Linked DNA regions of Xenopus tropicalis. The protein of the gene in region 1 purifies or fractionates together with the protein of each later gene. This does not show direct contact. Links are inferred from orthologs where the notes say so. Each region holds a gene or a part of one and is shown in the gene's direction. Other genes may lie near its edges.

Region 1 (3,652 bases):
CATTAGATATGAGAGAGCAGCTTTTGCTGTCTGCTGTCCATTTCTGCAGTGGATCGGGGGGTGTTCCCTGTAAATAAAACAAAATGTTCTAAGAGACACTTGATATATGATTTGTTGCTTGGAAATGAGACAGGCCTCAGAGGAGCGTGCTTAAAATCCTTACGCCTGTCGTGCCAGACCACAGGAAATCCGCTGATCGGCAGATGTTCCTACACATGCTTTCTCTTAAGAAGAAAATGAAAGCAATGAAGAGAAAATGTGGAGATGTGAGAAAGACATGTTGGGGTGGAAAGCCCCGTTGCAACAACTCGTGTACTAGAATATTTCATCTTCTGCAGCTTGAGTTCTGGCTCTTAGGAGAAATCAATCAATCTTGTATGACATCCAGTTAGACTCTATAGGGACCATTTACTGTCAGATTTTTTTTCCATTTGTATTTTAAGCGCTACAAGGCGCAGAAAAAAAGCCACAACTTTTCTGAGATTTACTATGCATCAAAACGGCTAAAAATCTGAATTTGTCAATTCACCAGCTAAAACTTGCCCAGATCATGTAGAAGTCAATGGCAGATGTCCCTTCCCTGGAGGATCCTTCTTTTGTTTCAAAACTTTAGAGGGTTTCAGATTTTTTATGCTGGTTTCTTGTGCAACAATTCAGAAAAGTTGCAGTTTTCATGCGATTAGTCAAAAAATTCAGAATTTTCACAACTTTTCTTCAACCTTTCCAGCATGGACATGTGTAGGCCTTTTCACCAGTGATTCCCTCTATTGCCAGAGGAAAAGCTTTTCAGGGAGCAGAGATGTATCGGTGGGTGACTAATCTCAGCATGGGGCTGCAAACATTGTTAGAAAATGTTACATTAAAGGAAATGTAACCTTTAAAAGAACTCAGAGTGCACTTCTAAGCATTTTTGATGATTCCAGGATATGAAGAAACCTGCTAATACTGTGTAACAACGGCACTTCCTGCTGGTCAGTAGAACTGTTCTGATGTTGATCTCTTGGAAAGACATGAGCAGAGCAGCATTAGAACAGTTCTCTGTTTTTCTTCTGACATGTTCTTCTGCCTATATCAAGGCTGGGAAACTGACCAGCAGACGGCACTAAGTTTATTATATTTGCAGTTTACATTTTTCTTCATGTCCTTGTGTAAAAAGTGCTTAAAAGTGCTTATGGGGAATAGATAACCAAAAAGGAAAGGTTATGGCCAATACAGGGCAAAGGAGCAACAAGTGCAACATTGTGTTTTCCTTAACAGAGAGGTGCCTTAAAATGTCAAGAGTCAACGTGTCTTTTAGGAGCAAGTATATTTCTATGTAGTTTCCATTTGGTTTATTTTTCCAAAGTTTCAGCAAACATTGGTACCTAATAGAATTGCTCTTTCCCTTGTCAATCCCCCATGTGATGAAATCATGCTCATGTGTACAAGGGATATTTGAACCATTCTGCCTGGTTTTAGGCAGGCAGTGACCATGTGAAATAAGTGCTTCCAAAGGGAATTCTGGTGAGTGCAATCTGTCCTCCATATAGATGCACTGGGGCTCGGGGCAGGAGAGCAAAAATATAGTTGGTGAAAGGATAGTTTGTTTTTCTGCTGACATGGTCAGTGATTGATATGAATCTCTTTAAGGTTTTTAGAGCATTTACCTGTACCCCAACCACTCAAATCTCTGTGCCTGTCCAAACAAACATTGTGTATGTGGATAAACCTTTACTGGGATAAAGGAGAATTTATGAAACTGGCCAGGGCTGCTTATTTTATTATTAATATCAAGTATATATAAAGCCTCAGCATATTCCCATGTGATGATTTTCGACATATCCCTGCACAATGCATTGTTTATAACACAACCTTCCAAAACCCAATGCTCTAAACCCCACAGTAAACATACATGCTACATTCTTTATAAGAAATGTGTTGTGCCGGGAGTATACCTAACTATATGCAGCCTCAGAGCAGGTACACTTCATATGTTCTTATTTCATTGATCTGTAACCTTACTGATATAAACTCTGCTATTTCCAATGCACTTTGTTTGGACGTAAAGGACATGTCAACCCCAAAAATGTTTTGTCTAATAAAAGAAAACTTAATTCTAATCAACTTTGCAATATACATTTATGACATATTTGTAATGGTTTTTGAGTTATTTGTATATATAATTGCTATTAAAAGCAGTGTTTGCCTGTCCTTTCTATTCTCTGCCCTGGCGGCTGTGGCGTTTGAAACAATCTAACAAACGTCAGCAGATTTAAGAGACCTGTCTAGCTGGAGGAGCCTGGCACTTGCAACATTGTTTAAAAAGTAACAACCAGGAGTTCATCAAATTCTGCTTTCTGTAGCAATTACATTTACAGATAACTTTTATAGCACTAAAAATTTTTAATTGATATTGCAAAGTTGCTTAGAATTATGTTTTTTTTTATTGGGCAAAACATTTTTTTGGGGTTGACATTTCGTTTACATTCACAATCTTCCAATATCCCCACCTACGAGTTGGGTGATATCGGGTTTATTAGATTGTTTGGCCCTGGGGCCAAGCTATTGAATTAGAATGTCGGGTATAGGCACAGTTGCCAATCCGACATAAAAACCAAACCTCCCTGAGTGAGATCTGGGCGATCTCTTAGACGGGCTGATAAGCCGCTGGATCGGTCTAAAGGACCAATGTCGGCAGCTAGAATCGGTCCGTGTATGGTCACCCCCATTCAGGGTGCATCTAGATGAAGGACAGACCACATTGCGCACAATTCTCTTCCTGAAGCACTTGTCACAATGACCCATGTGACCCAAGTCCAACACAGGTTTTATGTAATCCACATATAAATCTGTATTTTATGTTTTTGTTATTTCTCTTTTCATGTTGTTGTTCTCTTGTTGCCTATCCTATGCCATATCTTTAAAAATAGAATAACAAAAAAACTCTGAAAACCAATTAATGTAAAGTTGTCTTCCAAGCACTCCTGCAATTTACAGTTATTTTTTGTATTTCAAGTTTTTAAGATATTAGCAGTTTTAGCTATTATTATAATAAATTTGATACAACAGTGCCACCTGCTGTTCATTTTGTTATTATGGTTTTGCTTGGGATTTCTTCTGACTTTTTTTTTTAATACGAACTTGCAGTTTTATTCTTTTTGTTTTATTTTATGCAGCCGACCCCACAGTGAAAGATTTGATTGGTGGTTTTACAGCACTGCATTATGCCGCTATGCACGGACGAGCACGGATAGCCCGCCTCATGCTTGAATCGGAGTATCGCAGTGATATAATAAACGCTAAGAGCAATGATGGTTGGACGCCATTGCACGTGGCTGCTCACTACGGCAGGGACTCTTTTGTTAAGCTGCTACTTGAGTTCAAAGCTGAGGTTGATCCCCTGAGCGACAAAGGCACAACTCCTCTGCAACTTGCCATAATCCGGGAGCGCTCTAGCTGCGTAAAGATTCTCCTGGACCACAATGCCAATATTGATATTCAAAACGGGTTCCTGCTGCGCTATGCTGTTATAAAAAGCAATCACTCCTACTGCCGAATGTTCCTGCAGAGGGGGGCCGACACGAACTTAGGCAGACTGGAGGATGGTCAGACCCCCCTCCATCTGTCAGCCCTGAGAGATGATGTTCTTTGTGCGAGAATGTTGTACAGTTAT
Region 2 (3,652 bases), on another chromosome or scaffold:
AGCAAGTTTAGGGAAACCCATAGTAGACTGATTGCAGGTAGCTAGTCGCTGGTAAAGTAAATATCTGTAGGGCAAGAATCTTTCACTGTGTAACATACTACATTTCTTTGTTCTGTTGTGTATATCTTTTAGGAGGTGGGCATGCCAGCTGATTATGTAAATAAACTAGCCAGAATGTTCCAGGACATCAAAGTATCAGAAGACTTAAACCAGGCTTTCAAAGAAATGCATAAAAATAATAAATTAGCCCTGCCAGGTAAGTTTGGAATTGGGTTTAAAACAATTGTTATTATTTCCTGGTATTTATATTGTGCTGACACTTTTCTGCAGTGCTTTACAGAGATTATACCATTCATATAAGGCCATGCCCCTAGGACACTAGGATCAGTTTTATCAGGAGCCAAAAGACCTGCCTGTTCTTTTTTTTTTTTTTTTTTTTGTGGGTGTGGGAGGAAACCAGAACTAGGGGTAGGCAGAAGGGGCACGTGCCTAGGTCACAGCTGAGAGGGGGAGCTAGAACCCTAGGCATATACCTCTGCTGCCTCCACTACCTTCAGCCCTGGGGGTCAGGTATGCTGAGTGAGGAGCTGTGCCATTGACTGAATGGTGGAGCAGAGATCAGTGGCAGCACCAGAAAATAGGTGAGAATGTTAAGAAAAAGAGACTTGCTGAGTAAGGGAGAGAGAGTTGCGACATGGAAGGGGGGTGGGTCGATAAATGAGATTTTCCCTTGGGTATCCTGGTGTGGTGGCCCTTCTATAAATGGAGGAAACCCATGGGGAGAATATGGTGCCCAAGCCGGAATCAAAATAAGGCCCCCACCCCAGTAAGGCCGAAGTGCTACTCGCTGAGCCCACCCTCATTATAAATATGACCATTGTTTATTTTTTGCCCTTACTTCCACTTCCATAATCAGGACCAAAAACACCTCATTTTCAGGCTGGTAAGCACTTGTATTGGGGGTTTTTTGTTAAATTGACAGTGTGTGGCACTTTTCACATGTCTAGTCCTTACTAGGACTAAAAGTTCTTTATACGGGGTATTTATCTGGATAGAGTAAATTAATTAACTATCTTCTTCTTCAACAGTGCATTTTATTTACCTGCTTTTTTTTTTTTTTTTAATTATGGCCAGCTGACTCTGTGAATATTAAAATTTTGAATGCCGGTGCTTGGTCACGGAGCTCGGAAAAGGTATTTGTGTCCCTTCCCACTGAGCTCGAGGACCTCATTCCTGAAGTAGAGGAGTTTTACAAGAAAAACCACAGCGGCAGAAAGCTTCACTGGCACCATCTTATGTCCAATGGCATTGTGAGTATCTGCTCTGCACGGCATATTAGTGAATTGAGTTGCTAAGGGCTTTCCATGTATAAAGCACTTAAAAAAAGAAAAAAAACACAGAAATTCCTAGTAAATCACTGTAATCGGTTCCTTTAAAAATTATGAATAAATTCAATTTTTTATGTTCAAATCCAGCTGCAAAAAAGTTCTTTCTTTCTGCATCATTTGAAATCCTGGCAGGGGAGGAGGGGCTAAAACATTGACGTTACAAATGGTAACAACTTCTCCACAGCTTGCAGGAACTACATAACCCACAATGCATTGCACTGTGATTTTCCTTTCCTTATTGACATCACATGTGCAGGGAATTGTGGGATTGGGAGGAAGCAGGCTAAAGGCAGCCTGAGGACAGGCAACTACTGTTACATTTTATTTGAGTCTCAAAGTAGTCAGCCAGATCATTAGGGTGTAATTTGTTATTGCAAAGTTTTTGGTGCTTTTTCAGAATCTCTCTCTCTCTTTGTATAATGGACCAGTCCTGTAATGTTGAACTGGATGGCACGCCACTGTTTTACAGATAACATTTAAGAATGAGGTTGGCCAGTACGACTTGGAAGTTACCACTTTCCAGCTGGCAGTTCTGTTTGCTTGGAACCAAAGGCCGAGAGAAAAAATCAGCTTTGAAAATCTTAAACTGGCAACAGAGTTACCTGATGCTGAGCTTAGGAGAACTCTGTGGGTAAGTGTAAATGTGTTAGTATCGGTGTGTGTCATTGGCTAAACTGAACCTGCATGGCTGTGAGTTGTTGCATGGTAAGCCAGCCAAATCATTGCCATGTACGTGTTCTATGTGGGATCCAAGTGTTTGGTTCTTAATCACCTGGGGGCCTGTTCAGTAAATTGCAGACTGTATAGGGGCAGAGGCACTCCAAGGCTGACTAGATTTTGGGTTGCCCTTGGCATAACTGCTTACAATTGTTTCATTTTCTCTGTTTAGTCTCTTGTAGCATTTCCAAAGCTGAAACGCCAAGTATTATCCTATGAACCGACGGTAAATTCCCCAAAAGACTTCACAGAGGGTACCCTCTTCTCTGTAAATCAGGAGTTCAGCCTAATGTAAGTCATGTTTACATGTTTAATGCTGCTTGGTATCTTGTTTAATAGCTGCTTCACTAAACACTGCTGAATGTCTGTGCACCTTGGGTGGATCTATAAGCATTCTACTTGCACTGCTCCGGCTTTCATTTACAGGGCAACTTTACCTTTATTTTGTCTAATGCAGATATCCATAGGTACATTATAAACTGTTTCCCCTAGCTTCTGTGTCAATCTGCCAGGTTCAGCTCTGTAAAAGCTTCTCTTGTTCTTAAGGTGGCCATACACATAAAGATCTGCTCGCCTGGCAAGGTCGCCAAGCGAGTGGCTCTTCTCCCGATATCCCCACCTACGGATGGGCAACATCGGGGAATTTAGGCTAATTTGGTTGTTTGGCCCTGGGGCCAAGCGATCGAATTATAATGACTGGAATAGGCGAGCCGATGCGGTCCCCAATCAGACTGAATTTTTTAAGCTGCAGAATCAGTCCAAGGGACCAATATTGCCAGCTTCAATAGGCAGGTTGGCCATAACCTTATCTCCTGCCTAGCCCTCCCTAAATGTGATCAAACCCTTACAAGCAGAAACTCTTGAGTGGTGACTTTGTGGCTCCATGGCCTTATGTTACCTTTGGCTTTGTCAGTCATTTGTGGCCTATAATGGGAATGTCCAGGAAAGTGGTGGTAAAACGTGCTTTTGCACTAGCACAATAATTGGAATCCCCCACTCTTCCCTTTACCCACAATCTGGCACAGTTAGACAGGAAGGTGCTCCCAATGAATCACTAAGTGCTACTGTTTTATCACTTCATCATGACTGTGTGTTCTAATCCTAGAAAAAATGGAAAGGTTCAGAAACGGGGTAAGATCAACTTAATCGGCCGCTTGCAGCTGACCACGGAAAGGATGCGAGAAGAAGAGAATGAAGGCATTGTGCAGCTAAGGATATTAAGGACACAGGTACAGTATGTCCTGGCTATTAGATGGGAGTCACAAAGGGAGCCATGTCCAACACTGACATTTAGGGCAGAGGTGCTGGCACGTTTTGCTCCCTGTGCTATTTACTAGCTCATAGGAAGGGGGGAGTAAAGCAGAAAAAAATACCCCACCATAGACTTTTATGATAGTTGGACTGATTCTGCCAGTATGGCATCTTTAATGTTCAGCTGTTGTGAGTACACAGTTGTATAGTTAGTACAGCTAGAGTTAAAAGGAAGTCACTGGACTTAGCCCCCTGTGGTTAACACATGAAAGTGTTAAAGAAACTAACAATAGGGC

The links. The genes of interacting proteins can lie anywhere in the genome.
Region 2: the proteins of asb7 (region 1) and cul5 purify together in Homo sapiens (affinity purification with mass spectrometry; 6 studies listed by BioGRID and IntAct, counting the BioPlex papers as one, with this or other methods). This does not show direct contact. The link is inferred for Xenopus tropicalis from reciprocal best matches to the Homo sapiens genes ASB7 and CUL5.

What each region holds. Positions count from the first base shown.
Region 1 is NC_030679.2:115,577,098-115,580,749, forward strand, and holds part of asb7 (ankyrin repeat and SOCS box protein 7), read left to right. Parts: intron 1-3,155; coding exon 3,156-3,652. UniProt on the Homo sapiens protein: Probable substrate-recognition component of a SCF-like ECS (Elongin-Cullin-SOCS-box protein) E3 ubiquitin-protein ligase complex which mediates the ubiquitination and subsequent proteasomal degradation of target proteins.
Region 2 is NC_030678.2:159,948,173-159,951,824, reverse strand, and holds part of cul5 (cullin-5), read left to right. Parts: intron 1-132; coding exon 133-256; intron 257-1,134; coding exon 1,135-1,310; intron 1,311-1,857; coding exon 1,858-2,019; intron 2,020-2,277; coding exon 2,278-2,396; intron 2,397-3,210; coding exon 3,211-3,334; intron 3,335-3,652. UniProt on the Homo sapiens protein: Core component of multiple cullin-5-RING E3 ubiquitin-protein ligase complexes (ECS complexes, also named CRL5 complexes), which mediate the ubiquitination and subsequent proteasomal degradation of target proteins.